2 linked regions of the Lepisosteus oculatus genome follow. The protein of the gene in region 2 interacts with the protein of the main gene of each other region in a pairwise test. Links are inferred from orthologs where the notes say so. Each region holds a gene or a part of one and is shown on either strand. Other genes may lie near its edges.

The links.
Region 1: the proteins of rundc3aa (region 2) and ras-related protein Rap-2b interact in binary tests that used the Homo sapiens proteins (3 or more experiments, as listed by UniProt). The two-hybrid records come from large-scale screens. The link is inferred for Lepisosteus oculatus from reciprocal best matches to the Homo sapiens genes RUNDC3A and RAP2B.

Annotation. Positions count from the first base shown.
Region 1 is NC_090708.1:2,999,379-3,015,768, reverse strand, and holds the start of ras-related protein Rap-2b, read right to left. Parts: upstream 6,269-16,390; 5' UTR 6,168-6,268; coding exon 5,616-6,167; 3' UTR 5,570-5,615; intron 5,236-5,569; 3' UTR 1-5,235. UniProt on the Homo sapiens protein: Small GTP-binding protein which cycles between a GDP-bound inactive and a GTP-bound active form. Involved in EGFR and CHRM3 signaling pathways through stimulation of PLCE1.
Region 2 is NC_090723.1:1,753,083-1,770,192, reverse strand, and holds the start of rundc3aa (RUN domain-containing protein 3A), read left to right. Parts: upstream 1-7,940; 5' UTR 7,941-8,007; coding exon 8,008-8,594; intron 8,595-13,098; coding exon 13,099-13,214; intron 13,215-13,436; coding exon 13,437-13,570; intron 13,571-15,268; coding exon 15,269-15,354; intron 15,355-17,110. Other genes in the region: map3k3 (mitogen-activated protein kinase kinase kinase 3), read left to right, coding at 1,152-1,380. UniProt on the Homo sapiens protein: May act as an effector of RAP2A in neuronal cells.

The sequences.
Region 1 (16,390 bases), on a different chromosome or scaffold from region 2:
AGACAACTGCCTTTACAGCTGTGCAAATGACTACAGTTTGAAACTGAAAACTGGGGAGGGGAAAGGGGTATTATTACACAGCTTAATACTTCTTTTCTTACTTAAATGCATTGCTTGGAGTTAAGGAAATTATTTCAATAATGCTGCTTCAAGGATAAATGACAGAGGCATTCAAACATAAACATTCAGATTAGATCATACAAACGTATTCATGGCTTAGGTCAGTAAGGGACTGGCCAAATAATTTATTATCAGAATTTAGATTTAGAACTTTAGAAAAATAACACCCACCTGCTTGCACATAAAATGAAATTCCTGGCCAAACCGTCAAGTGTGGTGAAATGTAAACAGGGAAAATACTCTGATTTTAAACTGGATGTACAGTAGTATGTATGTTTGTGTGTAAGTCTGCTCCACAAAGAAGCTATGTAACAGTCCCCACTACCGACACAAACTATAGGCAGGAAGTTCTGTTACCTTGCGCTACTGAAATGAACACTAACAGGGTTGTTAAAAACATGTATACAGTATATGCAAACACAGCCTTTTCCTTAAGAGTAGCAAAGCCCATGTTTTTAACTGAAGATCACTGGAACATAAAGTAAATCAAACTTTACTGAAACTACCATCTTAAATTTCAAAAGAAAGTATACTAATCATCTACGGGCAGCAGAACAAATTGAAATGAAGATATACTGAAGTATACCTTATCACAACATAAAGCACTCACAACATGGAACCATGCAATTAAACCAAAAAGAGAGTAAAACAACTTTAGCTTTGTGGGAAATGATGACCTGATATTTCAAACGGGTTTCGTGCACATCACTCTAGTTGCAGTAAATTGCTATGCAGTTCTGAGTCCTCTGCTCAGACAAGTTATTTTTATTAAAGTGCGTCTAGCAATCTGAAGGTTATGCCTGAAACATGTCAGGACAATCGGGTGATAAGTATTACAAAAATCCACAAGAATTTCAGGGTATTCTGCACACTCATTAATTGAAGGCTGTGCTCAAAGCAATAGATGATGCTGCCAGACCTACGAGCCTCCTAAATTTGAAATTCAGATTATTTTTAACCATACATAACAGACAGCTCATACTTCTTTTGGGAAAAATAAAGAAAGGGTTTGCACGCAATGTGACACCCCTGCAGGTCTAATTAACATTTATCAGTGCATCTCCTCAGTGGTTCTCTTGTTGATGGATGAAGATCGAAATTCACTGTGTTGTACTTGAAAACCCACGAAAGACAGCACTGATATCTGCATGAATGGTCCATCTGTGCAGTGCTTCCTTGTTATAACGCGGGAGAAGAAGAGTGTAATAAAAACCACTGTGGCCTTCAGGAGAACCACAGTGAAAGAAGACGCGACCCTTGTCACCCTCGGATATGAGATGAGCACCGCAGGGAACCACAGAGGCCATCTTCAGTACAGGAGGACAGCACCACTCAGAGGAACCAAGACCTTCGCTCATGACAACACCCAGAGGAACTGCGCTACATAAGAAAAACACAGCCACGGACGGCTGAGCCACTTCAAGGATATTTTCCGGCCCTGATCTCGTCAAGATACTAACAAACACACAGCTCCGGTTCTGTTTGACGCATCACAGAACGTTTCAATGAAAAGAGTTACATTTTCCTGTTGCTTAATGCTTAGTTCATATGACAGCGTCTACTGGCAAAACAGCCCTTTTTCATCCAATCTCTCAGACATATCACGTCCAAACCAATTTTTTGTCTTTTTTTCCCCGCTTTGGCTGGAACTATCTCCTCAACAAGGCATGTCAATCAAACAACAGGGTCAAGTCCTAAAAAAAAGCTCCAGAATTTCACACTCAATTACAATGATTGAGGCAGAAAGGAAGAAGTTGGGAGACCAAGCTTACTTCAATTAAAGTTTCATGACTGTTCGCCTTAAGAAATGAATAAGGGAAGTGAAATAAGCCCAGAAGAGAAATTGGGAACTTAGTTCTGAAACACTTATGATTGAGGCCTGGTGTCATCTGTGCCTTAATACAGCAGGCCCAGTAATGTTTCATTCATACACTGGAAAGTGGCAGGGAGGGTTTTAGGGTAAGAACTTAAAGGACAAACTATCCAAACAAGAAGACAGCTGCCAGCGCAGTATATGAAAAGTCTAAAACACAGTTTGTGAACTACTGGTTCAGTTTTAGTGTGCACACCTCAATCGAGTATTGTATGATATGCAATGATCAACCAACCTGAAAAGAACAGCTCTCGGCACTCATTACTTATCCATCTCAGTTATTTTAAAAATCATCCATAAATGAACTGAACTTACAATTCTGAGTCATAATAAGCACTGAAGGTGTTTTACAAAGACCAGATGCTTTTTAGTGAGACAAGGGAATGCTTAGGAATCCTTGAAGTGAACTTCCTTGTCACTTCAGCTTGACATTTAAATCTGAAGCAGACAATTTTAAATCTGACATTCTGATTCACAGCCTATATGCCGCAGAGATGCATATAACCTTGCTGAGGAAACATTCAGATGATATGATTAGCTCATTCTTAACGCCAACAAGAACAAAAAAAACATGATAAACAACTAAACACATACTTCTTAAATAGGAGGGTTTAGATTCATTCAATGCTCTGGAAACAAACTCAAATGATTCTTACAGTTTTTTAGACAGTAACCATCAAGATTGCAACAGCTGCACCTTGAAGAAGAAAAAAACATTCCACATTCCCTGTCATCTTCTCTCAAACGCACACACTTCAGGTATCGCAGTTGGAGTCCCTCCAGCGCCAAAAAAAGAAAACCGTTGCAAAGCACTCTCTAACAAGTACATTTGAAATTAAGAAAGGACGGTTACAAATGGCAGGAGGTTTTGCGTCCCATCTAGCTGATTTTGTAGCTAGGAACGCATGTCACCCAGCTGTTTCGTGAAAGACACTGGGGCATCTGCTTCAAGAACAGGACTGGGCAGCCAGTTCCAGACTCTCACAACACTTTGGATAAAAAAGTGCCTCCTGATCACAGCTTAATAAGCAGCTCCACACAGTTCTAGATTGCAATAAAGTAAACATCTTTCAAACACATATCGACAGAGAAACAAATCATCACAACCTCTGAAAGATCAAATCCTTTATCTTGCTAATCACTTTCCTGTAAAACAAAAGCATGAGGTGACTGAAGACACACTACAACGTGGTACACCCACAGAACCACATTAAACACCATCACCATTTTCCAGCCCTGTCCCTGGAATACCCCTACGTCTTTTGAGTTTTTGTTCAAACTAAACCATTCATCTATTACGTTTACCGAGCTATTTGCTTACAGTTTCATGGCTTGCATAGTAAAAGAAGGTATAAAATTTGCATTTAGTCTGGACCAGAAGCGGGGTTTCAGTATTTCACCTTCAAACGAGAAACCTAAGTGACAGGAACTTAAGCAACAAGTCCATAGGTTCCCAAGAATGCTTATCATGTGAGTGTTCGATATATTGACCTTCTCTCTTGTGTATACTCTTCACTAATTGATAACTAGGGACAACCAATAAAGGTACAGGGAAAGCAACAATTTAAACCAAGTGGAAAGAGATCTATCCACTATGTTTCCTGGTAACAATAAACAAACAGGAGATTTTTTTTCTCAAACTAAGACCCTGCGTGCAGAAAACGGCCAGAAATCAAACAGCCGAAACACACAGACACAGACGATACCACTGACACGGGGCTGGGAAACACAGACTATCAACAACACACCGCCACTATCAACAAATTAAAACAAACGCACTGCTTTACTGGGAATCGTTGTCGATCCACAGTATGGTCTACTACACTTCAGTGTGTGATGGTTTCTGCAGTTTCTCCTTCATCTGTCAAGAGTGATTCAACTAGAATGTGGTGAATCACATTTTTCCATTTCCGGCTATGAGAATGACAAAGGCAGGTACTAAATACTTTTAACGCTGCTTTTTATACTACAGAGAAATTGAGTGTAACAGGTTATCTGCTACACACCCTTCCTAACTTATTTTCACCCTGGATGACTCAATCTCTACGTTGCTGCTGAAATCCCTGTGTGGTGCAAACACAGCATTTCACAAGACTGCAGACAACAGGAAAACCCAAAGGACTACTAGCACTAAAAATGACAGTGACAGCTAAGGGAGACATTAAACACATTTGAGATTTCTTTATAATCTGCAAAGCATACTTTGTAGTGCAGAAACTGCAGTTAAACTACAAAAGCAGTACAGTGTGTGTTTTTAAAAGCGGAGGTCTGTATCAAATGCACATTTGTACCTACAATACTTGACAGAGTGTGAACAAAACAGAGAGCACAAATCCATTTTTTTTTACAAATGCAATTTGTATTAAAAGTCTTTTGAAAACAGACAGCTGTTAAAAGGCTGGTCTGAAAATAAAATTACAATCGGGTTAGAATTCCAATGGTACATCACATTTTGTTAAAACAAAAACACAAAAATTCCTTTGCATCTGCTGGTCTGGGAAGAAAAGCAGGGAAGAACAGCAAAACTGATGTGATGATATCCAGTACCTGTGGACTTCAATTAAAATCAGGCCGAACCTCAACAGGCGTAGAAATTACATTTAAAAGGCCAAGATGCTTTTTTAAAAAACGCATTCAATCAACAATAGGTTCTTCTGTCTCTTTTTTCTCCTGTCTGATTACCTAAGGGAAACAGTTAAGTACTTTGTGGATTGCAAGATAATGGGATTGGGTGGAGACTTTCGTAGGTTGGCACTAAGTTAAACAGCTGATTTTGGAAGGCACTAGTAGACACGGGGCTCTTGGCGTCCCCAAATCACTAATTAAGGTCTTCGTTGACGGTGTTACGGTGGCACTGCTCAGATGATGCAGGTTTTTCTGATCAAGCAAAAAAAAAGTTATTTTTCTTCTTTTAAAATGTGTGTTTCCCAAATTGAAAATACCACTGATTTCCTTAACTCCCAACTCTATGTAGCAGGTACAAAATATGTTTTTCCCCCCCAGAAACGAACTTGCCCGTTCCTGCTCCCGACAGCAGAGTCTGATTAGTTCCAGTTAAGGGTGCAACAGATGACACCGCGTTTTCTGCTTCCGTGCAGAGCTCTTACAATCTCGGTGACCCTTTACGGGGTGCTCCTTTTTCCCGGTTCGTGAACATGTTCTCCTCGCATTTAGCCACACAGAAAAAGTCTTATTCCGTCCCAAGAGATATCTTCAGGAACCCCCGCATCAAGGATGAAACCCTACAACAGATTTCCAGGACAGAAAGAAACAGACGTGTTGGTCTTTTTCTTTGCATTTTAAGTAAATAAATATCACCACCTAGGCACTCGACAACGATATTTCCAAAAATGCAAATGTCTTTTTTCTTCTTTGTTTTTATTCCCAGAACACTAGGCGTATTCTGCCATGTAAACACTGGGTTTGGATCACGTTTTGTAAGAAGAGTGTGCAAGACAGCAGGACACTTTTTTAAAAAAAAATACTGATCATGATACAGTCGACGTATTACACCATAACGTTATCAACCAAACTGGTTAGTCTTCGGATCTTTAGTTGTGTATTAGAGTCACTCACCATCGCAAACTTTTTTTTGTTGTTGTTGTTGTTGAGAAAATATGTTTTAAAGGATAACACACGAGGAACAGCACTGGTCGTCCCCGTTTGGCTGCGAGGCATAGTTCATCTGCCTGACAATCTCTGCAAAGAGTTCGTCTACGGAGCCTTTATTTTTGGCCGAAGTTTCCATGAAGGGGCAATTCCATTCATCTGCCAGCGCCTTCCCTTCCCCCGAGGACACTTCTCGCTCGCCTTCCAAATCCACCTTGTTCCCCACTAAGATCATGGGCACTCGCTCGTATCGCTTCACCCGGATGATCTGATCCCTCATCGGCTTGATGTCTTGGAAACTCTGCTGGTTTACCAGGCTGTAGACCAGAATAAAGCCCTGCCCGTTTTTGATGTACAGGTCTCGCATGGAGGCGAACTGCTCCGTCCCCGCGGTGTCCAAAATCTCAAGCACCGAAGGCGAAGAGTCCACCTCGATCTCTTTCCTGTAAAAGTCCTCTATGGTCGGGTCGTATTTCTCTATGAAGGATCCCGTTACAAACTGCACAGTCAAAGCCGATTTGCCCACTCCGCCCGATCCAAGCACGACTACTTTGTATTCTCTCATGGCTTCTGAAATAGTCCTCTCCGCCTCGCTTTCTCTGGGCTGCGCTTTGCGCCGCTGGCCGCCCCGGTGCGCTTTCAGACCTTCAGGAGCCCCGAGCCTCGGGACGCCCCTTTCCACCCGGCTCTTCGGATTTCCGCGGCGATCGTGCAGGATCTGCGTGTCGGGCGAGAAGCGAGGCGATTTAAACCGTGCCCCAGCATCAGAAATGTAACATGTTGCGCCCTGCTGTTTCCTTGTGCACTGCTACTGTAGAAGGAGTGATCAACGCACTCTGACCACGCTCTTCCTGCCCACAGACACAGCGCGCAGCGTCTGCGCGTCACGGCCCAGAGGCTGGGCTGAGCTTCTTAAAGGGGTAACGACGAGCTCGCCGTCTGACTCTTGCGCCCGGTTTTCCCCTACTCACCTTTTGTGTACAGGCGTGTGATACCGGGGGGGACAAATCACGCCCAGTCTTTGCTAACGGCGTGCTTTCATGACTCATCAACCCCCGACACCCCTCTTCACCGAGACGCATTCACAGTGGAGGAAATGCCCCATTCAGCCGGCGCTGCTGTAAAAAGATTGATTCACAAAAGGAGGGGAATCTAGGTGTGTGTAAAGGCGATTAATGCATATCCAGAGCCATCCGGTCTAAGAAAATAGAGGTTGGGTTTAAAGCGATTTCTTGGCCTCTAGTTTTTATCATAAAGTGTGGATTTTTAGATAGCCATTGGCACTTGGGTTAGAACGCCTCACTGCTAGGTTTGACAATAAAACGTGGATATATATATATTGGCACTTGGGTTTGAACGCTTCACTCATGTTTTTTTTTATAATACAGTGTGGATTGTTATATATACATTGACTCTTGGGTTTGAACGCTTCACTGCTGTTTTTTATAAGACAGTGTGAATTATATATATATTGGCATATGGGTTTCAGCGTTCACTGCTGTTTTTTTTTTTGGTACACAACAAGCGACGGGGAAGACAATAACCATACTAAATCTGTTTCCTGATTCCAGTCAATGAACATACTTTACATAATCTTAACCTTCTTTTGCAGACAAGCCAGTATTCTCTAGCTGAACGCCATTTGTTTTACAACAATGACCCTATAAAAGCATCCTCACATGTCGTTTAGCTTCTTTTGATCACAGTGTACTTAAAGACTTATAGGAATATGTAGATTTATGTGTCGTACCACTATCCGCTGTCAATTGAGAGACACACGGTGTCTCTCAAGATCTGTACTGCTTCTGAACAAAAAATACCATCAGCTAATGCGCTTGTTTGCTTTAAATAATACGCCACTCATTGAGGAAAAAGGGAATGGATTTAAATTAAGCGCATAGAAAACTACGGCAATAAAATTCCACTTTAAGTGACTCACAACGAAACATTTCCAGACAAATTTACTTATCATGTGCAAACTAACACTAAGGCATCACGAGATGGTAAAGGATTACAAATAATTCGTGCATATGCACATAAACAGCGTCACCTGTAATTGCTTAAAGGTCTGTTTTTTATAGGAACGAAACACGATGAACTGCTATTATTTAAGTATCTCTGATCCAAGGTTACTTACAAAATATACAATATTACAAAAATACAAAATATTATCGTAATACAATATATACTTCTTTCAATATTGCGCTTTTTTTGTGAGAAACACACTATAGAAAACACTCAACTGGAAACGCTCATTAATCCTTATCCTACATAAAAGTATGTCTTCTTTAATGTTCATTACCCCCCAAAGAAACTGCAATGGCCCTGGCAATAGTTTCGAACCGAAATGTATTTAGTTGATTTAAACGAATACGTTCTCGGAAAAACAAACTCTCCATTTATTTAAAACCATTTCATACGTTTCTCTAGCTACTGGTTGTCATTGCCTAGACACAGCCGATACTTGGCGAAGAATGTAACTGCAAGTAACTGCGCTGTAGTTGAGCACCTTTGATAAGCAGAGCAGTGTACCGAAGTGAGTGAGTCATGCAGCCTCGCTAGCGCAGGTGGGGGTTATCTGTTTCTGTCTGACACATTCCTCTGCCTTTGTGGCTTGTGATGTGAGAAGGGTTCATAACTCACTGCCTTTTTCCTGCTCGGGACTTAGGCGGGGCTGTTTCAATAAAACAGCGAAGTGGCACCAATCATTTTCTGCACGGGTTTTGTGTAAACCTCAGGGCGTCTCGGCGTTGAGAACACACTGATGTATTCGGCAGAATCGGTACATTAAGATTTTGAGAGGTGCAAGTATAACGTTTCAGTTTAATACTTTCTTATGTTTTAAAGAAAATAAAAAAACGCAGTCTTAAAGCTAGCAACTAAATTAGTCCTATCCTTGCTGTGAATCGTGGGATATGTCTGAAATACATCAGACATGATAGGTTTGTCTGTACAAGACTAAAAAGGTTCAGTTCCTTCAGCCTGTCAGTGTAGGAGCCTAGCTTCTCAGCTCCTGTAATGTCTGCTCTTCTCTGCACTGATTCCAGTAGCAGAAATATCTGTCCTATACCACAGCGACAAAAACTGTTCTAAATGAAGCCTTACTAGTGTGTTATGCAATTGTAACATAGCTTTCCTTGATTTGAATTCTCGATTTGAATTTGAGTTGTATTTCCACACAGTTTCTGCTTTTTCGAGATACCTAAGGAAATGAAATACCCGTTTTTGACATGACATGTGCAAATAAAGGTAAAGTCTTTTTCCCACCCACACAAATATTCCTGCACGGTGGAAGATGAATGCAGGTTACTCCTAGTACCTAGAAACAACAGAATGTTAGTATGATTTCTTTGTGATTGCTTTCTTCTGTTTTTTCTGACATTTTTTCAACTATACAAGGGGCTTTTGTATTCTTCATATCAGTTCATTCAATGAACTGTAAACACTGAAACTATGAGGAAGGACGCAGAATAGCCCCTGCAACAGACTTCTGTCTGCTAACGAGATATACCGTTGACATATCTCGAACTTTATTCCTGCCAAATGAAAAGGTAGCACAGAGACCTGTGACACAGGAAGTCATGGGTTTCCTCCATTAGACAGAGAGAAGTGTCTGGTGGCTTCGCCTTATAGCCTTCCTGTCTTCCTGTGCACAGACGTCATTCATAGAATCGCACGAAGCGTTTGTACTCGCGGAATGGAGATAAACTGGTTCAGTAAGCCTTGCAAAACAACAATTGCATCTTTAATATGTGATGGTTTCATCTTTGTAGCTGGATGTAAAGAAAAGATGCTCAAGCTCACTTTCTAAGAGGAGAATATTAATGACATCTTGCAGTTTTGGCAGGGCTTCGTGACTTCATGTGCATCACCTGCAGGGTATGTAATTAACACAGTGCTAATCTCTACAATGCAATTGTAAACCTGCTCATCTGAAAATGATTTTAAAGGCAAATGAATTTATTACATTTTTACCTCTATATATCATGTATGTGTCATGCAGACATTTAAAGGTCAAATATTTTCTTTACCCCCAGAGTAGGGGCAAGTTTATACATATATTCATATTTTATTTAATATAGTTGTTTCTAAACATTTTTTTTTCAATGAAACAATACAAGCAAAAGTAGGACTGAAAAAAACTGCTGTCTTTTTTAGATAAATACAAACCATGTGACAACTGTGTTTCAGTGAATAATCCTCTGGAAAACAGCAAGCAGTCATTCCACTGGTGGAAATGAAAATGGTCCCAGCCACCATCCTCCCTCATAAACAGTTCCTGAGTTTAATAAACAAACAGGGCCAGAGAAGACTAACCATTTAAAAGTAAGAAAAGGTGAGGGAGTAGTAAACAGCCCCCATTTCATTACCTTTTCATACCAATGGAAGATGATTTGTTTTTCTCCTCAGCCTGTGGTTAAAAGAAGCCTTTGGCACCCAGTTCTTCCTCAGTGTGGGAAATCAATACTTTCTGTTTCACGGACTGCTGTTCTTCAGAGAGCAGCAGTTTTAAGTCATGATAAAATTAGCATTTTTTTCTTTCTAAACTTATTGACTGCTTGTGTGCAGTACATTCCCCTGACATGAACTGTAACTTGCACTTCATATCCACTGCGTATATCCCCAGGGGGAAAATTGTGAAGTGAAATATTCTAATCAATAGCTCTTTAATCGGTGTGTGTGTCAAATATCGACTTGCAGTTCAGTGGCACATACATTATAAATACGATTTGATATGTTCTACTGAGCTTTTTCTCCAAAACAGACCTTTTAAAAAACAGGGAAGTCCCGCATACGATGATATCTAAACCACCTGGATTTGAACCAGCAAACCATTTTCTACAATAAGCACTAACCACACACAGAAGACAGAATACGGCAAAACCATTAATTACGAGTAAGATCATTTAACATGTACAGAAAGTAATCAAAGGAACAAGTAATAGGTTTATTCCATGCTGAAAAGAGAAGAGAGAAAACACAACGTTTCAGCTGTGAAGCCTTCTTCAGGTGTGAGGGGAGCAATCAGCTCCATTTGTCTTTTCACAATAGGGCAGGCAGAGAGGCAGAGTGCCGTTACAGTTCTCTAACTGAGGTTAAACAGGGCAGCCGAGACGCTCATTCTCTTTTTTCTCTTTTGTTTTTGCTGATTAAAGGCAATCCACCAGAAGACTACTGCATGTGAAAATTAAATCAAAGGTGCTATTGTGTTTCCTTCTGATGAGGTTTTACAGCAAATTTAGCGGAGATACGGGATCTATATCCCTTTAAGAAAGGAATCTCACACCTTTTATGGCCACATGTCCAGACTAGCTTTGCTGCAAAGTTGAGTACAAGAGAAACACAAGGCCGTTTGTCAGAAAGCTGAGCTGTAATCTGTTGATTTGTTACTGGTGAGGGCATTTTCCCTTTGTATCACAATGCAGAAAAGCAAGAGTAAAACTGAATACATTATTTGATTTATTCCTACATTATGTACTATGAATTCTTCTAAAAGTAGTATTATTTAACCAGGTCCAAAATAATAACAATAATAACAACAACAACGGTCATTATTATTATTATTATTATTATTATTATTATTATTATTATTATTATTATTAGACATGTCACTTGGAATGTCCATGCCATTGGACTATGGGAGGATATCAGGGCACTAGCTATGTAGACATGGGAATGTCAAGCGAACTCCACAGAGAAGGTAAGGTTCCCAAGTCTGGACTTTCACTGAAGTATTGCAGCCTGACACATTCAAAATGGAATAAAATGGAATAAAAACTGTACTGTATGTCAAACCCTAGGCAAGTTATGAGAACTTCCTTTCTTTTGTTTTTTTCAACCCATGAAACCTGCACGTGACCTGCAAGAGGAAAGGGGGTTTTCTCATTACTGCAGTGTAATGAAAAAACCACAGAGGCTTGGTGTCACTGCTGAGAGCCTCATTGAAAAACTCAAGAATAACCTCACCTCCGCTCTGCTGCTTTGCAATGCAACAGGACACAGACATAGCATCTAATGACTTTTGTGCAAGTCCTGTTTCCAGCCCTGATCTGCAGAACCGGATCAGGGCAACATTAGCACAGACTTCTCAGAATTCTTGAAACACACTATATCAACATGCTATGAAGCAGCAGCCTCACTCAGTTTATTGACTTGATTCAGTTTCTCATATCTCTTTATATACCTCTGAGAGCAGTTGAGTGAGGGAGGTGCTGCTTACCAGCATGAAAAATACATCTTGACATGAGAATCCTTTTGCTGTTTACGTGCATTGTAAGGCAAACTCAGCAAATGTTGTAGCTGTATACAGCATGCGGATTAAACATTATTTCAAGAAGATATGCATCTGTGAATGCATGTTAGTTTTTGGTATTCATGAGATTCTACTTTGTAGAATATTACACTGTAAAAATCTTTCTTGGTAAAAGAACCGCCTGACATGGTAATTTGATTATTCAGATGTTTTTTTCTTGATTTAATACTCAATGGAGTTCCAAACCAGTTGCAAGGCTTGAAAATGATTAATTAGTGCTCTGATGGAGAAGAGAAAATAAAAGAAACTGGTTCATCTGGCAAGGGGTAAGGATTTTGTCACACAAATATCTCTGGCTTTTATTTGTTGGTCTTAACTAAGAAGGCTGATTTACAATACTGATTACAATACTAGTTTTCACTTGGATAATTGTAATAGCCTGACAACAAAAGCATTGCTCTAAGGCTTCCAAACTAAATGTTTTAAAATCTTTAGTCATCATTTCACAGAGATCTTCTTCATACAGGGTAGTATTAACTTCATATAATAATTGGTGCTACTAACAGTCTAAACCTGTATTAGAATTTCCATTTGTTTTTGGGGTTTTCAATGCTTCAATTTAAAATGCTCAGTATGGTTAGATTGGCATATACTGTAGCAGAAGCATTCATATTGAAGTAAAAAGCTGTACACAACACACATTTATGAAGGTACAGTATGTAAGTACGTATGTGGTACATGTGAGAGTAGTAACTGTGTGCTTTATAATACCAATAAACTGTTTGGCACTCTAAACAATATATCATTTATAAGGAAGATTACAACATGAATTTTCACTTATTGCATCATTTATCACCAAGTTTCCACATCAGATACTAAAATGAGTCAATCATCTCATGTAATTTCAAGTAACACAACGACTGATTAAGTGCTACCTCATAATTAAAATGTATCTAGTCAACATTCATAATGAGACAGTTTCTCCGAGCTTAAAAGAAATACAGCCACTTGACAAGGTTGTATTAGTTCCCCCCAATAGAATTTAAAACGTTTCAGTCACTGTGGGCTCATTCACAATTCACTGTGCGCTAACTTATCTCCATAAGACTGTAGTTTGGTAGATGATAACTAAATTCTCTTCATAGCTGCAATGTTATCTTTGATGTGGGGAGACCAATATCCTTCGAAGGTTCACCCTGCTAGACATTAAACAGCAATGCTCTCTTCTCTTTCTCTTATCCACAGTTTCACTTTAACGTGCCGCTAAAATGTAGTTCAGTGGCTCTTGCAATGTAAAACAAATTCATTTCTGAATTCTTAAAACTGCCTTCTTCCAGTATTTATGACATTTATTAAGATTTTCTGGGCCGCCTTCATTCTCTGTCACCTGCCTTTGAGAAGACATTCAAGGACTTTTTCTGCGAACACACAGATCAATACTATCAGTAGAGCGCCTATGCTGTTTAGAATGTGTGGGCTGTAATTCAACATGGAATTAAAAAAAAAACTAAATGTGTAGCACCACAACTCACCCTGATATGTACTGTATATAGGCACATTTTATTGGTGACTGGTCTGACAGTTGATTGACATTTTCTAAAGGCCAGAGTCACTGAGCATTTACAATTGGGCCTGGACTTTTCACCCCATAAGACTTCACTCAGATCACATTTGCCTTTTGCTGATTTCTTGTAGTCAGCATGCTGTGCTAAACACTTTGAGAATATTACCTTCAGTCCCACATGCGGAAAATGTGACACTTAATTGCACTGGATTAATTAATAGCTTTATGTTTAACAGCAGAGAATATATAGATTTCCTGCCTTAATGCAAATGAATTGCTGGAGCCAATTAATAGATTAATGTGAAAAACACTGGAGATAACCCAACAGAACCTAAGTTTCTTGAGTTACTTAAGTTAAATTAAATTCAAATGTGCTGCATCAGATGATCAGTATTCTGAAACCCAAAGTGGTTCCTCTTTAAAAAGTGCTGCCTACATTTATATGAAATGTTACAAAATACTTCTGCTGCAAAATCTTTCCTGAGCTGCGCTGAAATCGAAAAAGGCAGGGTTGAGTAATGTGAAATCGTAGATGATGATTTCTTTTTAGCTTTACGGTTTATGTAAATGTTTTTGGAGTATTATCTTCCCCCGGATATAAAGGCTTTAGTGGGAAAAAACGAAAAACAAAACAAAAAATAAACTAAGTGACAAAACCTGGTTACTGATGGTTTTCCATAACTGTTAGAAAAAAAAACGAATGGCCTATGTACAGTATTTTACCATATTTTCATTGTTTGTTGTGCCCTTTACTTCAGAGCATATTAAAGAAACGCAGCGCAGCTATCTCTTATCAATACATCTCTTATCAAACACTCGCTCACCATATTTCGTGCTCTTCGAACTTGGCTTTATTATTGTTCATGATATGTAGGAAAATGTTTGTTTCCTCTTTCTTGAAAGCTACTGTTAAATCCACTGATGTATATCTAGCAAGAGAACACATATTGTATCTGAAAAAGTAAAACACATGTACATTTTCCCTGAAACCTTGTTTGTAATGTCAAGTATTTTTACGCAGGAGGAAAGACGTTTGAAAGGTAACCTGTAATTAGTAACAAAATTATTCAAATACAGTCAAACACCATTAGAGTATACAATTCTGTAGGTTTGCTAATAACTGCTTTATTTAGTTTTTTGTAACTTGCTTTGCGAATTATATCCTCACAGAAAAAGAAACTAATTGCCAGAGAGACAGATCCCACAGAAGCCTTTAGAAAAGAAAGACATAAAACTGAAGAAAACTGTTGTAATAAAAAGCCTTTATAATACAATCAAACTGGTTCTGCACAGCCTTGAAAAGTAATTTGTGAGGCTCACATTATACCCAGGTTTGCCCAGGTTTTACTTTAATTCCAGCTGTCTGCCTCTCTCCCATTACAGGTGCAAACTTGCACCCTAGATGGCGCTGTCCATTTGCTTCTGAAGAAAACTACCGAATTTGACACAGTTTAACTTTACTGTGTCCCAGAAAGGGTAGCTAACGCTGTTGCCTTGTTTTGCATTTAGCTTGTGGCAAGTTCTGTATGGAGTCTGCATGCTCTCTCCATGTCCACGTGTGTTTTCTCCCATGGGCCAAAAACGTTCTGTCCAGGTTAATCACACCAGTATTAGCAGCAGTCCGTGTTCTCAAACACCTCAAGGAAGCAGACAAGGTGTCTTCGTACATCGTTAATGTTTGCTTTAAGATGACAAGTGTTTTAAATAGTGTAGTAACAAGCACCCCCATACCCAGAGCTTTATTATTTCATCTGTTTATTCAAAGCCATTCCTCATACTGCTCTGCAATAGAATAATACCAGGGACATTCTCAAGGAAAAACTTTGTAAATAGCTTTCTTATCTAATTCAGCTTGTGCACAATTTGCACTACTAATATAAGAAAACACAGCCAGAAGGAAGACTTTATGGTTCAACAGAAGTCTGTCTTCTATATACAGTATTTTATTAATATATCATTACTGTATCATATTATTAGTTATATATGTATGAAAGGCATCTTTGTTTCACACTCAGGGGACACCAAGATTGGTTACATAAAGCTCACAGTTATTATTAATAGAATGTTATTTTTTACATTTTCTACATACAGTATATGAGCATTTTTATTTTGAAGTATGGTTTCTCATTAAAAATATGAAAGAAGGACCTTGGTCACTTAATTAACATCTTTGTGCTTTGTAACACACATGCGCTCAGTCCAGCAAATAGTCTGTCACAACAGAGGGAGAATGCGAGGCTGAAAATTCATTAACAGCTTGGACAAATTTCAGAGGAAAGAGAAGGTTTGTCTTTTAATACTTAACATAACATTTAAAAGTGTCATCTTCAAGAAGTACAGAATGGAATTATTCTATGAACAGACATTTATTATAATTTTCAGTGGGTGCTGAAATACAGCATGTATAGCATAAAGCAGATGAATCGCCAGTTTTAATACTGTTTCAGGTAACATATAAAAAACTCTTCAGGTAACATATAAAACACATGCTATGGCCTTTACTATTACGGTTTGTCTTTTTGTTATTCCAAATGTTCTTGTAACTAACTAGCTTACTATGAATAAAAAAAGGAAATAGCTGAGCTAGAAGAGGCTTAAGAAAAAGTTGATGCATCATTTACATCTTCTAGGCACGGCGGGGAATCCCTTAAAAAGGCAAACGAAATGCTGGGCTATTAGTTAAAAGTGTGGAATTGAATAGCTGATTCTAGTATTCAAAATCCTCAAAGGCGAAGACAGGGTCAACCAAACAAACCTCTTTAAAATGAACAGGGAAACACAAACCGGAGGGCACAACTGGAAACTACATGGGAGTGCATTGTAAACCTACAACAGGAGGCTCTTCTTTAACCAGAGGCTTGGAAGAGTGTGGAACAAGCTACCCAGCCATGTCTTCTAAGCTGATACTATGGCTTCTTTCAGGAAATGGCTGGTGAAATCCTTTGATCAATTATCTACTAATTACTAAATG
Region 2 (17,110 bases):
GTTCACCTGCTCCTGGTTCACAGTGGGGTTCCCCCTGCAGTCTGGTTGGGCAGTCTGCGTCAGGGAGCTGGGATTGGCCGAGAGCCAGCCCTTCCAGTGAGCAGCTCGATCTGGGGTCGGAATGTTCCCCGCCCGTGTTCCCCACTCCCCCAGGGACTGGGAACACGCTGAAACCCGAGAAGGCTGTCGCCTGGAAAAGGGACCGAAATCGAAGGGTGTTTTTCTCCATCCAGACACTCTTCATGTCAGGACACTGCCTGTATTCTTTTTAATGCTGTACATAAAAAGTTTCCATGAAAACATTCCAGCTGTCTTAAAATAAACTCTCACAGTTTGTGTTCTTCTGTCCAGTGAAACCCCAGAGCAACATTCTTGACAAATTCTGATGTTTTTTGTAAATCTATATCCCGGTGTTTGTAGATTCCTAGTCCAAGTTCATGTGAAAATCTTCAAGAACCCGTGAGACTGCTTTATTAGAACAGCTTGAACGTGGTGTCACCATTTAGAAAAATGTGTGAGGGGGAAACTTGCATGTCATGTGTGATGGCAACACTTTAGCATGTTGTTACTTTTCGTTAAAGCCCGACTGTGAAGAGTTTTCAGGTAGGGTTCTGTCCAAGTCACTGTACTGCAATATCATCATCTAATTGCTGACGAATCTGCCTAATTAAACGTTTTTTTACTGGATGAAAAAAGTAAAAACTTCTTTTACCCTTAGCCATAAAAGGGATCATTATTAAGAAAGACTGAAATTCCCAGGGGTTTCACTGACTTGACAAGAGTTGGGCCTTTGTAATTAACAAAAGCTTTTTTATTAAATGTTTTTAATTTAGCAAGTGTGATTTTTTTTTTCCTTTTCTGCTCAGTTCTTGAAACTCAGCCCTTCAGCCTGTAGGTGGTGCCATGTTGCATACTGTGACATGATTTGAGGTTGAGATGGTATTGGAGATCAGCTTCGATTTCCAACTTTCCTGAATTGTATTTCTTGCTGCCCCTTAGTGGCAGCTGTCAAACCAAAAGTTTGAGACAGCTCTGAGCAGCAGTACCTTTGTAATTCTTAGGAAAGACATTTATGTGTGTATGTATATATAAAGCCTTAAAAATTGCAACCTAAATAAAATGGTTTGATTTTTTCCTTTTGTTGCGGACAGGAGCCTCGGCTGTACGGTGGTGGAGATGCTGACGGAGAAGCCCCCCTGGGCGGAGTACGAGGCCATGGCCGCCATCTTCAAGATCGCCACCCAGCCCACCAACCCCGCGCTGCCTTCCCACATCTCCGACCACACGCGCGACTTCCTCAAGCGCATCTTCGTGGAGGCCAAGCACCGGCCCTCCGCGGAGGAGCTGCTGAGACACCCCTTCTCCCAGATCCTGTGCTGAGCAGACCCCCGGGGCCGTGGCAGTCCCGCCTTCACAGGGGCACCTCCTGGATGAATGTGCATTCCCTGCGGTCACCACAAGGGGGCACCAAGCTGCAGTGAGGATGTCAGGTTTACTGAGGTGCAAGATCCTTTGTAAAAATGGTCAGGATCCAGTACTTTCTTTCCTGTTATTTTAATATGCAGTGGAATAGCTGAGTTAATGGCTGCTTCTGTACAGTGTTTGGGTTCACCTTTAATGGGATAACTGCCATTAGTACACTGGGATCCAACAGATCCTTTTTTTTTCCTACAAAATGGAATTCAGTGGTGCTCAGAAATATTGGATCCCCACTTTGAGCAAACGTCTTTAAGTGCAAACAATTGTATATAGATTTTTTTTTTCTTCAAGAGGCCAGGATCCAGGACTGAACAGTTCTGTTTAGAATCAGTTAGTGCTGACCAGATGCATCGTTAAGGCACTGCCCCTGGTTTTGAGTAAGTCTTGATAGCAGTGCCCGGAGCTGCTGTTCATGTTTGGCTCACAGTTGACCCAACTGTGGCTATTGTCTTAAATCGTGAAAAAGACAACTTCTATAACTTATTAGTATTTTGCAATGCTGTGTGTAAGATGAGACGTCCGTCATTTTTATTTGTGACTGAAATTTTCCCGCAGTTATTGTCTTGCCTTCAAAAAACCGGCCAGATCTTAAATTTCAGGTCGGTTCTTTCTCAGCACACTTTCGACTGTCCTGTAGAGCTGGGGGTTATTCTGGCGCTGGTCCCTGTACTCAAGGCGAGGCGAGCGATCGTGTTTATTATTTCACAAAGTGTGCTTGTGTGCCCGTCGGTCTTGGGACATCCTGTGTGCCTCTGGCGAGAGTGAAAGACACTCCATCTCCTCCAGGTGGCGCTGATGCCCCTGTCCGGCACTGCAGGGGGGAATGGTTTGGATCAGGAGGCAAGTCAGAGAAGTGTCTTGCAGGAGCAACTTCTGACTTAGCATGCTATTGTAATACTACAGATGATTCCACATTTCCTTGTGAAATTGTGATGAACTGCTGAATGGCACAAATGAAGAACCCCGAACTGGGTACTTTCCGCTTCTACTAAGAGACTGGTTAAATCTCAATTCCGACAACCTAGCTGATAGATAATGAGTTCCAAAACCAGGAGCTGGCATAAAGTGCCTTGGAGGTTTGCCCTGAATCAGGGCTACATGGAGAGAGAGCACCCTAGGAGGCGAGCACGTGCTCCTCCAGATTTCCAGCCAGGTTGAAATCTGACCTTGTAGGTTAGATCCAAAGTTCTCTTTACTTCTGTCAAAAAAACACAGTAAGTGTCCTAGTGCTTATTGCCTGCAGTAATTGCCCCTTACTGGGCATTGTAGTTTGTACCAGGTCTACCTGCAGGTGACAGTTCTGTAATGTTTCTGATAAGGTTTGAAACCAAAATCCCATACGACGGACTTGAGGGGAATCAGGTCAGCGATTCGCCTTGGTGTAACGCATTGCAGGGCACTGACAGCGGTCCCCTTGAGAGTGAAGTTAGAAAAAAAAGAGTTTTCAGAAGATTGCTGTGGCCACCAGGATGGAGAGGATGACAAATCCAAGAAGCAGCATCTTCATGATCAAAAAATAACTCGGAGCTCATGAAGCCCTCTGCCTGCTCAGTTCTCTAGTGGCAGTAGCATCTAGAGGGACAGTAAAACATGGCCTCCTAATTCTACATGATCTCAATTTGTTCAGTATTTTAAAAACGTTACATAGATGAATTCTCAAGAACTACAGTCAAGCACTTTACTATTTAAGAGACATAATTGGAATATTCAGTGTTATTACGGCTGTAGCACACCCTGTATCATAATCCAAGCCACTCAGTCAAAGCAGGCCAGAACAGAGGTGACACCAGATGTTCTTCTGATGCATATTATCAGCAACATATTTGTCAAGATAGAAACATGTGCCTATTTCAGCATGAAGAAACCTAGCCCCTGCTTATAGGTATCTTTTTCCATTTGTCCTGTTTGTTTTGGATCTGGAACAAGGGATATGGACAGCGTTAATGCCTTTCTGAATATACAGTAGGAGAATGCAGTGTTTGTTCTTTTTCTAGTGAGCACAGACTGACCTGAATCAGCATTATTCCAGTGAGAGTCTTCACCGGTTTGACAGTTCTGAGAGTATTTGCACTGAACGGATGTCACAAAGAAAAGCCATTTTTGGACGCTCAGATTTTTTTTTGTCCAGCACCAGTCCACTCCCCGCGCGCCCCCCGGCCGAAACGCGATCCGATCTGCAGTGATCGCGCGGCGGTCTGGCCGTGCGGCTGCCTCTCTGGGACTGTTTGTGCCAGCCATTTCTTTCTCGTGTCTCGTGAGGGGGTTCTCCGCACCACATCCGTACTTGTACCAAAGAGTGTTCTTCTCCATTTTCCCAAAGAACGAGTGTTGGGGTTCGAGGGGGCAAAGCCTTCATTTTGACTTCGCCGATGAGCTGAAGTGAGAATGCGGAAAGGCGTTCTGTGTTGGAGACGGTTTGCTTGGCTTGCCTCCTCCTCGCTTCCTCCCCCCGAAAAAAAACACGATTTTCTTCCTGAGACGGTGTTATTCCAGTTGCTTCCAGTATTTTGTACATTAAGTAAAATGTTCGCTGAGTTAGAGAATGGGGGGGCTAAGGATAAGAGGATTAATTTCTCTCCTGCCTGTCAAATCTAGCATTTATTTTGTCAGAAATGCACTTTTTTATGAATGTAGGTATTTTTTGTGCCTTTGTTAGCTTTTGGCTTTTTTTTTTCACAAAAAGAATCATTAATGTGAAGCCTCTTTTTCTCTTTATTTATACCCTAGAGTTCATTAATAGGATGATGTGTTTTTTATATATAAATATATTTTTGTTATATCGACTCTAGACAGTTGGATGATGTTTCTAATGACAGTTTCTAATGATGCCTTAAGAAATATGATATAAGAAAAACAGAAGCAGCTGGTTTTGCAGAGATTATGCTGAGGGATTATTTGTAGTGTTAAAAAAACACTGGGTCAAACGAGCTCTGTATTCCCTGTGAGTGCTGTACAGGTCTGTGAGGGGTGTCCAATTTATGTAGCAGCCGAACCAACAGTCCCACTGAAGATCAACCCTTCACTAGACAGCAACTAAAAGATGGGAGTCCTGTGAGGTCCAGTCCTGTTAACTGGACTGTACCTGTCAAAATAACTGGATCAAGTCAGACTTTAACCAACCCAACAGTCACAAATTCCACTGCTCAGTCCTGGGAGACTTTTCCTCCTCGCGCTCCTCATGTGTGGAATTGCCAATTGTTTCAGCACCTTGCCTTGCTGTTAAAACATCTTCAGCAGCAGTGAAAAAAAGTGCGCACACACACACAGCAACCAAAACACGCACCACCAGCTTCAGGTGAAGGACTTGGAACAGCAGGCTCTAGGGACACTGCGAGCTTGCGGGCACCCATGGGAGTCACCGTAGAGAGGCACACCAAGGGACCGTGCAGTCCCATAACCGCAGTGGCACGGACCAAACAATGCTCTGCGGCTTGGGGAATTGTGGGTACACTGCACTAATGACATAGCTCAGACCTGAAGAGGCAATCTCCAGGATACAAAGCTCTGCCCACAGAGCCATTTCCCCATTGGGTCACTTGGAAAGGCGATGACAGTGTGCTAAAAGAGGGTTTCTGGGGTTTCATTTGTGACGGGGAGGCTGAGATGGGCTTCTACTGCCTTTCGACCCTGTATTGGATAAAGCAGTGAGAAAATGGAGGGATGGATTCGAGCCATTTATTGAATGAGGACATTGGAACAAACACCACAGGGACACATAGCCTCAAACTTCAAGTGGTCTGGGGCAGCATGCTGTATCCATGCCACAGTCTGCAGGAGTTCTGTGCTTTTTTTCTTTTATTAGCACCTTTGTAAGGTTCTACTGTTTTCTTTCTGTTAAAAATCATTTGGGACAGTTGACTGAATGTCTTGTGGCTCAATCAGTGAGCACGGTGCCGAACACATCTGCCCAATAATCTCTGAGCACTTTTAAAGTTCTCAAACAGACGAGGGAGAGATCTCTTGACAGCCAAACCACCCTTTCAATGAATGCTTTGGACACTGTTGTGCTACAGTGAAGCTTCTCCAAATGTTTTCTTCAAAACAAGTTTCAAACGGCGTGTTTTCGTTCATCACAGTTGCAGTGTTATTTAAAAAAAGAAGCCGACTTCTTCTTCAATAGGGGGAATTGTTTTAAAACAAGTGCTTATGAATGGAGCACCACCATTGTAGTGAAACTTTCCGTCAGTAGGCTCCACAGCACTTTGAAATTGGGCTTGAGGCTGCTGAAGTATCTTTGAGTTTTAGGAGGCAATTACAGGGGATACCAGAGCAACATTTCACCCAGCGTGACGATTCTGTTTAGCCCAGGGTTGGGGGACCTCCTGAGTGCCTGTTTTGTGCTGACTATAACCTTGCAGTCAGAAGTCTTTCACCTCGAGTGAACATCCACTCGTATCAGTTTTTTTCTATTATTTCCGCTGCTCAACATGGTGATGGTTAAGTTTAAAATTCCTTGCCATCAAAGGAATCTTTTCTTTTGAAGTGCTCGATATCTTCCAAGGAATGTCAGTGTTGTTTGAGACCCTGGATTACTCAGAAGAATATGGACCAGTAGTTTAAATATGTATATGAATATATAAGGATATATATATCGACAGGGGGCTTGCAGTGCAAAGCCAGCCCAGTGTATCAAAATTTATTTACAATAAAATGGTTCAATATGCCTACTGAGGTGTCTGGGAATTGTTTCTTACATTGTGGAAAATTTGAGTTTGTCTAAGAGGTTTTTTTAAGTAATTCTCAGCTGGTAAAGAATTTGTACTGAGGCTGAATTCTGTACACTGGTCTTAATTTAGCCACCTCGTGGTTACATCCATTTAGTATTTTTATAGCTGTCCCAGCTTGCAAGGTGAGTTCTGAAGGGGGTTTCTTATTAATTCTGCCCTTCAAGCATGCTTTAACGTGGCAGATGCCAGTTAAAAATATGTCAATTATAAGACTGCGTCCACATCACAGCCTGTTCCTTCATTTTCTACAGGTTTTTCACAGGTGATTGAAAAGTGTTTCCTGACAGTCTGAGTCACATTGCTTGGCAGAATAGTTTTGCAGCTTTGTATCTTTCGCAGTTACTGACGTGTTTTTTTTTATCCCGCATCTGCTGCTGTATATACAAATTAGAATGGCAGAATTACTGACACTCTTTCTTGTGCTTGTACCTTTCACATGGTGCATTTTCAATTAACCTTTAATTAACTCTGCTGCCTCACACCTCTTGGCTTCTGCATTACCTGCTGGATCTTCTGTGTGGAATTTGCATGTCACCCTTGTGTTCTTTTGGCTGTTGGAGTGCTGCACTTTGCTCTTGGTGTCCAGAACACGTGGGCTTTTTTTAACACTGTCGCTAAATTGCATGTGGCCCGGGACAGACTGTAGTCCTGCCCAGCACCCTGCGCTTTCTGGGATGGGCTCTGGTTTGCTGTACCTTACTGGGAATGAGCAGTTTCCCGATGATGGATGAACGATTTCCAGTACTCCCTTCCCCCATTGCTCCCTTCTCGGTGACCGCAGTAAGTGTTCTTGCACCGGAGATAGAGCAGGATCCTGGTAAGGAGCATTTCAGACACGTGATGAGGAAGCTGCAGGGGGGGCTGCTCTTCAGGTGCCACTTTAAACTCGCCGATGATCTCGGGTTAAACCATTAAAGCACTCGCCCAGCCCTGAGCTCTCTGCTCTGAAGCGTCGATGTCTGTCTTTCACAGCTGCGTCCGACAAGCTTCCTTTCCCGTTTGATAACCAAAATGATCCGCCCGTTGATATGATTCCTGAGCAGCATGGCACCTTTCAAATCTGCACGGTTCAGCCAGGTCGAATAAAAAATGTCGATGGGTGGATCGTCTAGACAGCGATTTCTTCATGTGTTAAATGATTTTGTTTTTGCATTTGAATACCGTTAAAAACATGCGAACGGTATAGTTCAAATTGGACACAGTACGCGCTCAAGGTAACCGCACAACCGAGACCGGATTGCAGCCGTCAAACACTGCTCGGTAGGTACAGAAATTAAAACTCCCCCCAGTGGGCTCTTCTGTAAGATCTTGGCTCTTACCCTGCATTGAGAAAATAGCCGTAAAATTTATCAAAGCCTGAGCGGTTTTTCCAACCTTTTACACCACATACAGTACGTGTCTAAAATCAAACCTGATGAAAGGTCCAGGATTAGATGAGGTACAGTGCGCCCTTTAATGACTTAAGATGAATTTTAAACCTCATTTTACATGAACAGAAATGTTAAGACTTTCCCCAACATGTTATGCTGACATTCAGGGAGCGGGCTATAATTCTTTGTCTTAGTATTTTATTTTCAGGTGTACATGTACATCGTGTAAGAACATCGCTGCCTGTTATTTTAAGGCCCGGTAATTACCAAGATAGCGCATTACGCTGTCCTCGTAAATATAACGGTTTTTTTTTTCCAAGGCAAACTATCACAGGCTACAGTTTGAATTTCCACCTTATATTGAAATACTCGTATTATTTCTGATATAGTGGATCATGCTGGAGGTTACGGCTTGCTACCTGATAGTATAAATGAAAGATCGTGCTGCTTTCCGTGCATTAAAGATGCAGGGATGCAGTTTCGCAAGGTTTATTTATAGTTCATTGCTGTGCTCGACAGTGGGTAGTTCTAGCTGTATTTCGATGGGCTGTGCTGTTCGACACGTCATCGAAAGCCGGGCTGGGGGGCATCTTCTGAGATCACTGGTACAGGAGACAGAGGGAGGAGAGACGAGGGATGTTGTAGCACCTCGGACAGTACCGCTTCAGCGAGCTGCGTCGGAGGGCCGGTATGCACCGGAGCTAGAATTACATTTGTTTTTTAAAAAAGGGGGGTGGGGGAGATATCGGTGCATTTTGACGTTTGACGGCTCCTTTCGTCGGTTGGGTACGAATCCCTCATCGCTGGCGATCTCCTTCCGACAGCCCGAGGACCCGGGGAGATGTACACGGCGTAACAAGGGAGGGGTCTTGTCGGTCGGTACCGAGCGGTGTGGATCTGCGCCGTCCTGGATGGAATCGAGCTGCCTCCAGTCTGCAATGGCGATGGGGCTGTCGTCGAAAAAAGCATCTTGTCGGAGCGTCGCGGTGGAAAGGAAGAACTTGATTACGGTTTGCCGGTAAGAGCTGGAGAGGAATGTGAATGGCCGTTTTACTGATGCACTGTCGACTGTGGGTGCTGGGATTTCTTTTTGTTGGGGGGTCACGTTACATTATTTTTCTATATAGTGACCACCGCTTTAAGCAGTCCTCGATTTCCAGCGTGACAAACCCTTCGCCTGGTCGCAGTCTGTAACGCAGAAGCGGCCCGGCTCAACGACGAGACCGGTGTTGAGCGCTGATGCGAGGATGAGGCAGGCCGGGGTCATTGTCGCGATGGCTTTATGATTCGTAACGTTTCACTATAGCAGCTCAATCAAAAATAATGAGATACGAGTGATCATCCTAGGAAATTCAAACATAACATATTCGTTGTCTTGACGGGTGATGTGTTTTGGGTCGCCCGTAGTGGGTACAAGCGAAGAAAAGATCAAATAACCGGCTGGCAGGCGTGTGGGGTCATTAAGTGAAATAATGGACTGCTGGAGCGCTTGTCTTCCGCTACTGTAGTCCTTGAGGGCTGGGACCTGAAGACCGGGCCGGGGGTGCCTGTGTGGTGTGTGGTACCCCCGGTATCCGGGAGGTTGTTGTGGATGTGAGGTAATCCGTCGCCGGAGCAGGAATGTCACGGATGGTGTCGTTGCCAAGGCGACAACCTTCCCGTGGAAGAGGACACTGTAGCTGCCGTCGCCTCGGCTGTGTCGCTGTGCTGAAGGAAACCTCAATCAATAACTGAGCGAGAAAGCATCCGCTGTCATTTGTTTTGATCAAATATTAAAGCTTTAAAAATGGATTCAATTGCTTAACAATTGTAGTGTCCTGTCGTGGTATAGGCTGCAGTGCCCAATGACCTTTTCTCGTTGAGACGAATAAAGGCCACTAGGGAATAGCAATTAACCCCTACAGCAGTGCTTCTGACTGACAGCAATACTTCTGCACTATCATTAAATGTTTTCAACAAAATAGCTGGTGACATTGTTACCGGATATGAAACAAGTGTAGAATCACCAGTATTGTATAATGTGCATATTCCCTGGTGTGTATTTTTAATGCTGTTGTTTAACATTGTGAGGACAGTGGGATTGTACTGCGCATAGCTGGAGTGAACAACTACAGTACGATTCATTTTCACACAAGTTGTTTTAATATTTATAGTAGTACAACCTTGTTTTCCCAATGGTAACTTTATATCTGATGTGCTCAATGAAAATCCAATACAACTGCTTCCAAAATATTGCTGGTCATTTCAGAAAAATAAATTGGAAACCGTTATGTTGTCCACACCATCGTACAGTATTCCTTCAGAGGAGGCTAAATGGAAAACAAAAATATTTTTTCTTTCACAAGTTGGTGCTAGAGCTTGTGAAACATAATCCAGTTTGTGAGAAAGGAAGTAAATCTGAGGTATGTTGTGTAAAAACTGCTAGCTCCTTTTTAGCATGTCTGTATTAGAAGGAAGAAGGTGGAAGATAAAGTTTTTTTCAAAGTAGGCATAGCTGCTGGTTCAAATAAATTTCAAGAAATGTGCTTATACTTGTACTGCTGAAATAACCGGAGGTCAGGGTCCGGGAGGTAATGGCATTGTAGCTTTCCTGTGGAGCACAGGCGCAGTACAGGAGCCATGACAGCAGTCTTTACCATGAAGATTCACGGTCTGGGCGATAGATTGTGAATTTTTTGCACTCACTATAGTAGGAATATCTTTGGCTTAGGATGTAGACTCTGGCAAAACGAATGCTTCTGACTGACAGTCAACAAAGGAGCTGATACCAGGTACCGTCTTAAAATCGGGGTCAAACTGAAAGCATCTCAGGACAGGAGGTGACAATAAGGCCATTGTCCCGTCGTCATGGGGACGCATCGGAATGGCCGAAGGAGGCCTTGTGGTACAAGGGCAGCACCCCTGACATCACTGAATTAGCCAGCATTGTTCTGAGCGCGTTGTCAGAGCCGGAGATCTGACACAGACTGGAAATGGAGTTGGGTAGGAGTGGCGCGTTGTTTGGCCACTTCCATAAGGCAGACTACTCATTCACTGGCTAGATCTCAAAATACCACACTTGACGGCGACTGAAACCCTAGAAGTGCAAACTCCAGATTCAAGTGCTTTTCACGGACCCTTTTCAATACCTAAAAAAACAACAGGTCGTTTGACATTTTCCAAATATTTAGCTCAAGTTAACTCAAGTAACTAAAATTAGAGATGTGAAAAAAACAATATGTTCATGTGGCATTTCAGTGCTGGACTTGCATTGTATAGGGTTCCCAAGCTGTGGTCCAGCATGGTCCTCCTAGAATATCTGAGGTATTCGCAGAAGTCTCTTGTTGGCTTTACCTTGAAGCTTGATCTTCAGGAGTTCAGCAAGACTGGGGCCTGCAAAGTTCTGAGAAGGAGATGGTACTGTATCTAGGAGAAATCAAGTGAAACAAGTTCCTGCTTGTAATGGGGTTGGCACACCAGTAGGTGGCACTGGTACCCCTGATTCTGAAATCCCAAGACAAAGGCAGTGGATGAAGAAAGACAGGCTGAAGACCTGAGGCCTTTTTGTGCCTCCCTGATCTTTGTTGTCCGACTTGTCAGGAGTCTGGGGTTACTATTCTTCTCTTGCAACATATGAAGTTCACATTCCCACGACATGTTAATGTGCAAAACCATTCTGTTTAGTTTAGCTGGTGTATAAAATTACTTGCACCACAGCATAACACAATGTAACAACAAAAACTAACACAATGTTGTAGATAATGACACAAGCAATGTATGTCTGGTTTCACACACATGAGACAGACCTCTGTCATCTTCCTTGATCAGGAAGATCCCCCAGCCTCAATGTGGTGGAATGTGAACTTCAATCCCACAGAAAATGGTTTATTTCAGCTCCAGGCCATCCTTTCAGGAAAATGGGGTGGTACTGGGGTACCTAATATTTTGGCCAGTAGGTATAGAGACTGCTCCTAGGATCTGCAGGGACAGAAAATGCTTTTGCAGCTTTACACCCAGCATCCAAGAGGGGAGACATCCAATTTCTGTATTTTTGTTTTTGTCAGTTGTCCTTGGCTTTAGAAAGTCCAGTAAAAAAAAAAAGAGAGTTAAATCATATTTAAAAAGAGCCACTGAACGTTTCAAGAACTACTTTGGAATGCCCTCATCGTACGGCATGCACTTTTCTCTTTCTGCACAGGAGATTACACATCCCAGTATCAGCCCTTAAACAGAGCCTGCGAGTTGAATGCCATCATAACAACTGAGAACAAAGTACTGCTGTTTTGACAGAGCATTATAAGGATGTGTTATAGGCTTCTGCATGTTTTTTTACATTTGATAGATTTTTATGATGTAAAATTCTCTCATGCTACATGTCATTTATCTTCTTAATTTTATGTTACTCTTGTCCCTTGTGCAAAGAGAAAAATGCTCTATTTTCACGAATTCACACAGCTCCAAAAACTGCTCAAGAAGTTATTGCTGCCTTTGTGAATGTCTTTGTTCTTGTGCTCGGATTGAGTGACTGGCACTGCCGTTTTTCTGCCATGTAACATCCTTTGGTTTTGTTTTTACCTCTTGTTTTAATTCTTACTGATTTAGATAGAGCTCTGTATCAACATTGGAGATAAACAAATGGATTCAATACATCTATAAAACAATGACAACAGTTCTATTTTACAAGTGTTGTGAAAAAAGTTCAACCTTCTATGGTCTCTTCTATAAAGTGTGTTGATGTTGGCATTCTGGTTGGATTTTCAATTCAGTTGGCATTTTCTACCCTTGTATGTGTTCTGCTAATCAGCTTTGAGAAGAAATGTTAGATGATCAAGAAATGTTCGATGTTAGATGACCTGAGGAGGTCAGTGGATAGTGGTCTAAGTCATAAGATTGACAAAGAATAAATAGGCAGTGGTTTCCCTGGAGTCCCTCGAGAAATGTCAGGATGAAATCCTTGAAATTCAGTACATTTCCAGCTTCCAAACAAGCTAGTGGTCCAGAGGGGCATCTTACATTAGTATACTACAGTATATGTGGGGGCATTACGAGCACAAAGCTCTTCTCCAGTCCCGGTCCTGGGCCTGTACACCCACTGTTCTCATTCCAGCTGAGCTCTTTACCTAACAAGTTAGCTCAACTGGAACCTTTGCATGTGTTTTTTATCTCCAGATGTGGGGATCTTAAATTACAGATCAAAAGTTGCAATTGTTAAAAGTCCACCTCCAACATGCTGAGGAGGCGAATACAGTTAAAGGACTGCAAAAAGAATTTTCTTAGCAGTGCTGGCAAAGCTTTTAACTGTATTAGCTGCATTTCACGAACTAGAAAAACAATTGTGACAAATTGCTTTCAAATCAATTTGCTTTATTCTTAATTCTAAAGTAGTAAAAGCGTTGTTTTTTTGCAAATCTTTGAATGCTTGTCTAAACATCCCTGTTCTTCCAGAGTCAACAGATTAATATCCTTCAGTTATTTTGTCTTGAGTAAATTCTTAGATCCAGAAACTATATATAGTTTTATGGTCTGTGGGTTGTGTTCTGCAGGTTTTCAGTGAAGACGCTGTTAGAGAAGTACACAGCAGAGCCTATTGATGACTCATCAGAGGAATTCATCAACTTTGCTGCGATTCTAGAGCAGATCCTTAGCCATCGTTTCAAAGGTAATTGAACCGGAGTCCAGTGAACTGGAGTGCTGAATGAATGAATGACCAGGACCCCTGCCTCAGACTGATCTGATTGCTGGTGGAAAGTGTGAAGCCCGAATTAAATCTAATTAAGTTAACAGAGAATCAAATTACATTCATTAACCATCGGTCATAATGATGAAACTCATTTTTCAAAGCCGAAGAAAGCTTTCTGACTTTTCAAAAATGCCTTCTCAGGCCCTGCCAGCTGGTTCAGCTATGATGGACAGAGAAGCTTCTGGGACTACATTCGCGTTGCCTGCAGCAAAGTCCAGAACAACTGCGTCTCGAGCATCGAGAACATGGAGAACATCAACTCATCCCGAGCAAAGGCAAGAGGCCACTTCGGGAAGTTCTGGAAGTTCTGGAACTTGCCGACCGCAATCCGGCACACGTACAGAGTCTGTTTACGTGCAGTGGGATTGTCCACACCCCAGTGTCAATAGCAGCCTATGCCACTGCCAAGACACTACAGGCCAGACTATCAAATTGTCTGTTTGTGTCAGCTGGGTTTTGTGCTTTGTGTTTTTGCTGCACGCCCAGAGACATTAATAGGCTTATGCATCTGCCCTTGAAAGCTGTGCTGAGAGTTACTGAAGCAGATGGGGAAAGTCATAATGTGACATCAGTACCAAATATTCTCTCCTAGCTGGTTGTATTCACCTAGCCATTTCTGAAAGAAATGTCTTGTCTTCTACTATAATATACTATATTTTGTACTATGTCTGCTGATGATACTGATATGCTTTGTGGCTCTAGATCATAATATACTTCTGTTCTGAAATTAAGGCTACAGTGTGCAGAAGCCCTTTCCTCACTTTTCAAACCACTGCAGATACAGATTTTAAATTTTCTGCATTTTTATCATTATTACATGACAAATGACATGACTTGTCACCGGGAATATTTGTGATTCTACTTATAGGGAAGACCACACTTTGGGACAGTATGAATTTACACCATGCCAGTGATGAGAGACCATTTCCTTCTTAAATAGCCATGTGATTATTTTAACAATCATGTTTCCATCATTTCTGTGAGAACTTTACACTCTTTTCTATTGATAGTTGCAGTCATTATGCCTGCCTTGGTGTATATGTTCCTTTCAATTAAACAGCATTCCTTTTTTCAAATTATTGACAGGTCTGTCAAAGGATCCTTTGTTTATCTTGTATATTTTGCTTTATAATTTGTATGAATTATAAAAGTATGAATTTTGAACAAAGGGAGATTTTATTTAATGTATTTTTGCAATGGTCTGTGGGTTGTGTTCTGCAGGTTTTCAGTGAAGACACAAGCTCTATAAGTTACTGAATGATAGTATTTGCTAGGTTGAACTTCCAAGAGATTTTACAGATACCTTGCTGACTTGTTTACAGGAGGAGCGATTCTGAAAGGATTCCCCAATATTCTTCCCTTTAAATGTGTTTTAAGCCATCAGATATCACACATGTGGAAATTGTAATATAGGTCCTTTTGCTTCATAGTCAATGTACAGTGTTATTTTGTGTGCTGGTCCTTTCAGTGAAAAGGGAAAGATTCCTACTGTGGGTCAGTGCCTTTTATAGACTGTGTGCTGCATACACTGTGTACACACTGATGTGAAGTCACCAGCTTTTCTCTTGCTTGATAATTGAGTTGAGTTTCCCATAACCAAGTACATACAGTATATTTCATATGCTCAGAAGAATTTAAATCTCCTCTACAAGAACATAGCTTGATCCACATCAGCCTACAAAACAATTTAACCGCAGCCCTGATCTGATTTGCAATCAGCGTGCTTAAAATGCATCATATGATGTTTCACCCCTTATCGATCTGTTGTGTGAAAAACAGAGGACATGCCCAAAACTGGACTGAAAGATGGGAAGGCAGGGAATCGCATCTTGTAATTAGTGCAGTTCCTTCTGTTTTAGGTGATATCTGGCAGTCTGAGAGGAAGAATATCTGAGAAGCCCAGTAGCTGCTGCTGTGCTGCTGAGGCTGTCAGACGAGGTGAATAATGGGCTCTTTGTTCTTGCTGTCTGCAGGGCCGTGCCTGGGTGAGAGTGGCACTGATGGAGAAGCGTCTTTCAGAGTACATCGCCACAGCCCTGAGGGACACGCGGACAACCAGGTATCGCCAGCTTTCACCCTCCACAGAAGCACTGCCGGGCTGCTGAATATTGCTCCAGCTTGAGAATGTGTTACGTTATTTATAGCGCAGAAAAATGGCATATTCCATAGGAGCGACCCACCCTCTGCAAAATGAAGTAGCAGCAGACTAGGCCTTTAGCCCAGTGTGCAGAGATATGGAAAAAAGGCTGATGCAAGCAGCCTCATGGGAAACAAAATTACTGGTGCATTGCTGAAGGCAAAAGCAGATCTGGCTAATTTATCAGTTCAGACAGCCTCTAAGGTTTAAAAGGCTGTGATTAGCAAGTGGAAAAATAAACACTGAAAGTACAACGAAGGCTGCAGGAAGCTCCTGCACTGTAACCCTGATCTTATGTTCCACATCAGTTGTGTCCACTGTTTATTGCAGCTGATGCTCAGGGTTTGGGCAGTACGTATTGCTCATTTTGATCATAAATATATATTTGAATCCTTTACTTGGTCAAAGATACAAAACCCTAAAAAATCTTTCACTGGGAGGGCAGGAATTGACTCTGACTATTCAGGCACATTCCAGCTCCTGTTTCTATACAAGTAGACACATAAGAAAGTCAAACCTGACAACTTCTCAAACGAGAAGAGTCTGTGGTAAAGGCTGTAAGGGGAAAACTGATTCCTCTTGATGATCCAAAAATCTTTTCACCAGGTGCACAGAGTGAATCTGAAAAAGCATCAGCTGACCAAGGCATTCTTAACTAAAAAAAAAATGCAATCATTTTATTTGAGGAAAATCTTGCAGGATCTTTTGGCAGTATTTACTTCACTTTTGACTGTTTGCTCGTGTAATGACAATCTAAGAGTGGCAGAGAAAGCATTACAGAAGTTTTACAAGAGTATTGTTTTTTAATCCATCCATTTTCTAACCACTTCTTCCAGTTCAGGGTCATGGGGGAGCCAGAGCCTATCCCAGCAAGCAACAGACACAAGGCTGGGTACAGCCTGGATGGGACCCCAGCCCATCATACTGTAGGGCACACACAGGCACTGACACACACCCTCACACCACGGACAGTTTTCCCAGAAGCCAATGCACTTACCTTTTGGTCTATTGGGGGAGACCGGAGCACAAAGAGGAAACCATACAGACTCCTCACAGATACTCCAGGTCCTAAGTGACCCAGGACCAAGGAGCTGTGAGGTAGCATAATCACTGTGCCACCCATATCACTTTCCACTGATGCTGGAAATAGTTTTTGCTCCTTTTGTCAGGATTCTATTGTGAAGTCCATTGGGATGTTCGAAACAAAAACGAGATGCACAAAATGTGATTCTTATTAACGTGAAGATTAGCTTGTTGTCTTTTTGCAATTTCTTGACTCTGTTCTTGCTGTCTGGCTGAACCACAGTGGAGATGCTGAGGGGGGCTTTGTCAGCTGCTGTTGGTAAAGAGAGCTTTTTTGCGACCTCTCTGATGCTTCATGAGCACAGTGTTACAGTGAAGGGAGGGGGCTCTTCGTCCTCCTCCTCGTCCTCCTCCTCCCCCTGTTTATTCTCTAGTCGTTGATGTTTCTGTAGATGCCATCTGTCAGTGCCGGCTCTCCCCCACTCCGCCCACAGCAGGCAGGAGAGTGATTTTACCATCGAGCTGCCAAGTAGCGTGACTGAAACACTGTTCGGAACCAGCTGACAGGATTCGTGAACCAGAGCCTCCAGGGAGCATCGTCTTCCCTTCTAGCGTTGGGCCTTTTCCTTCCCAAACTGGAAGACATGCCCTGTCC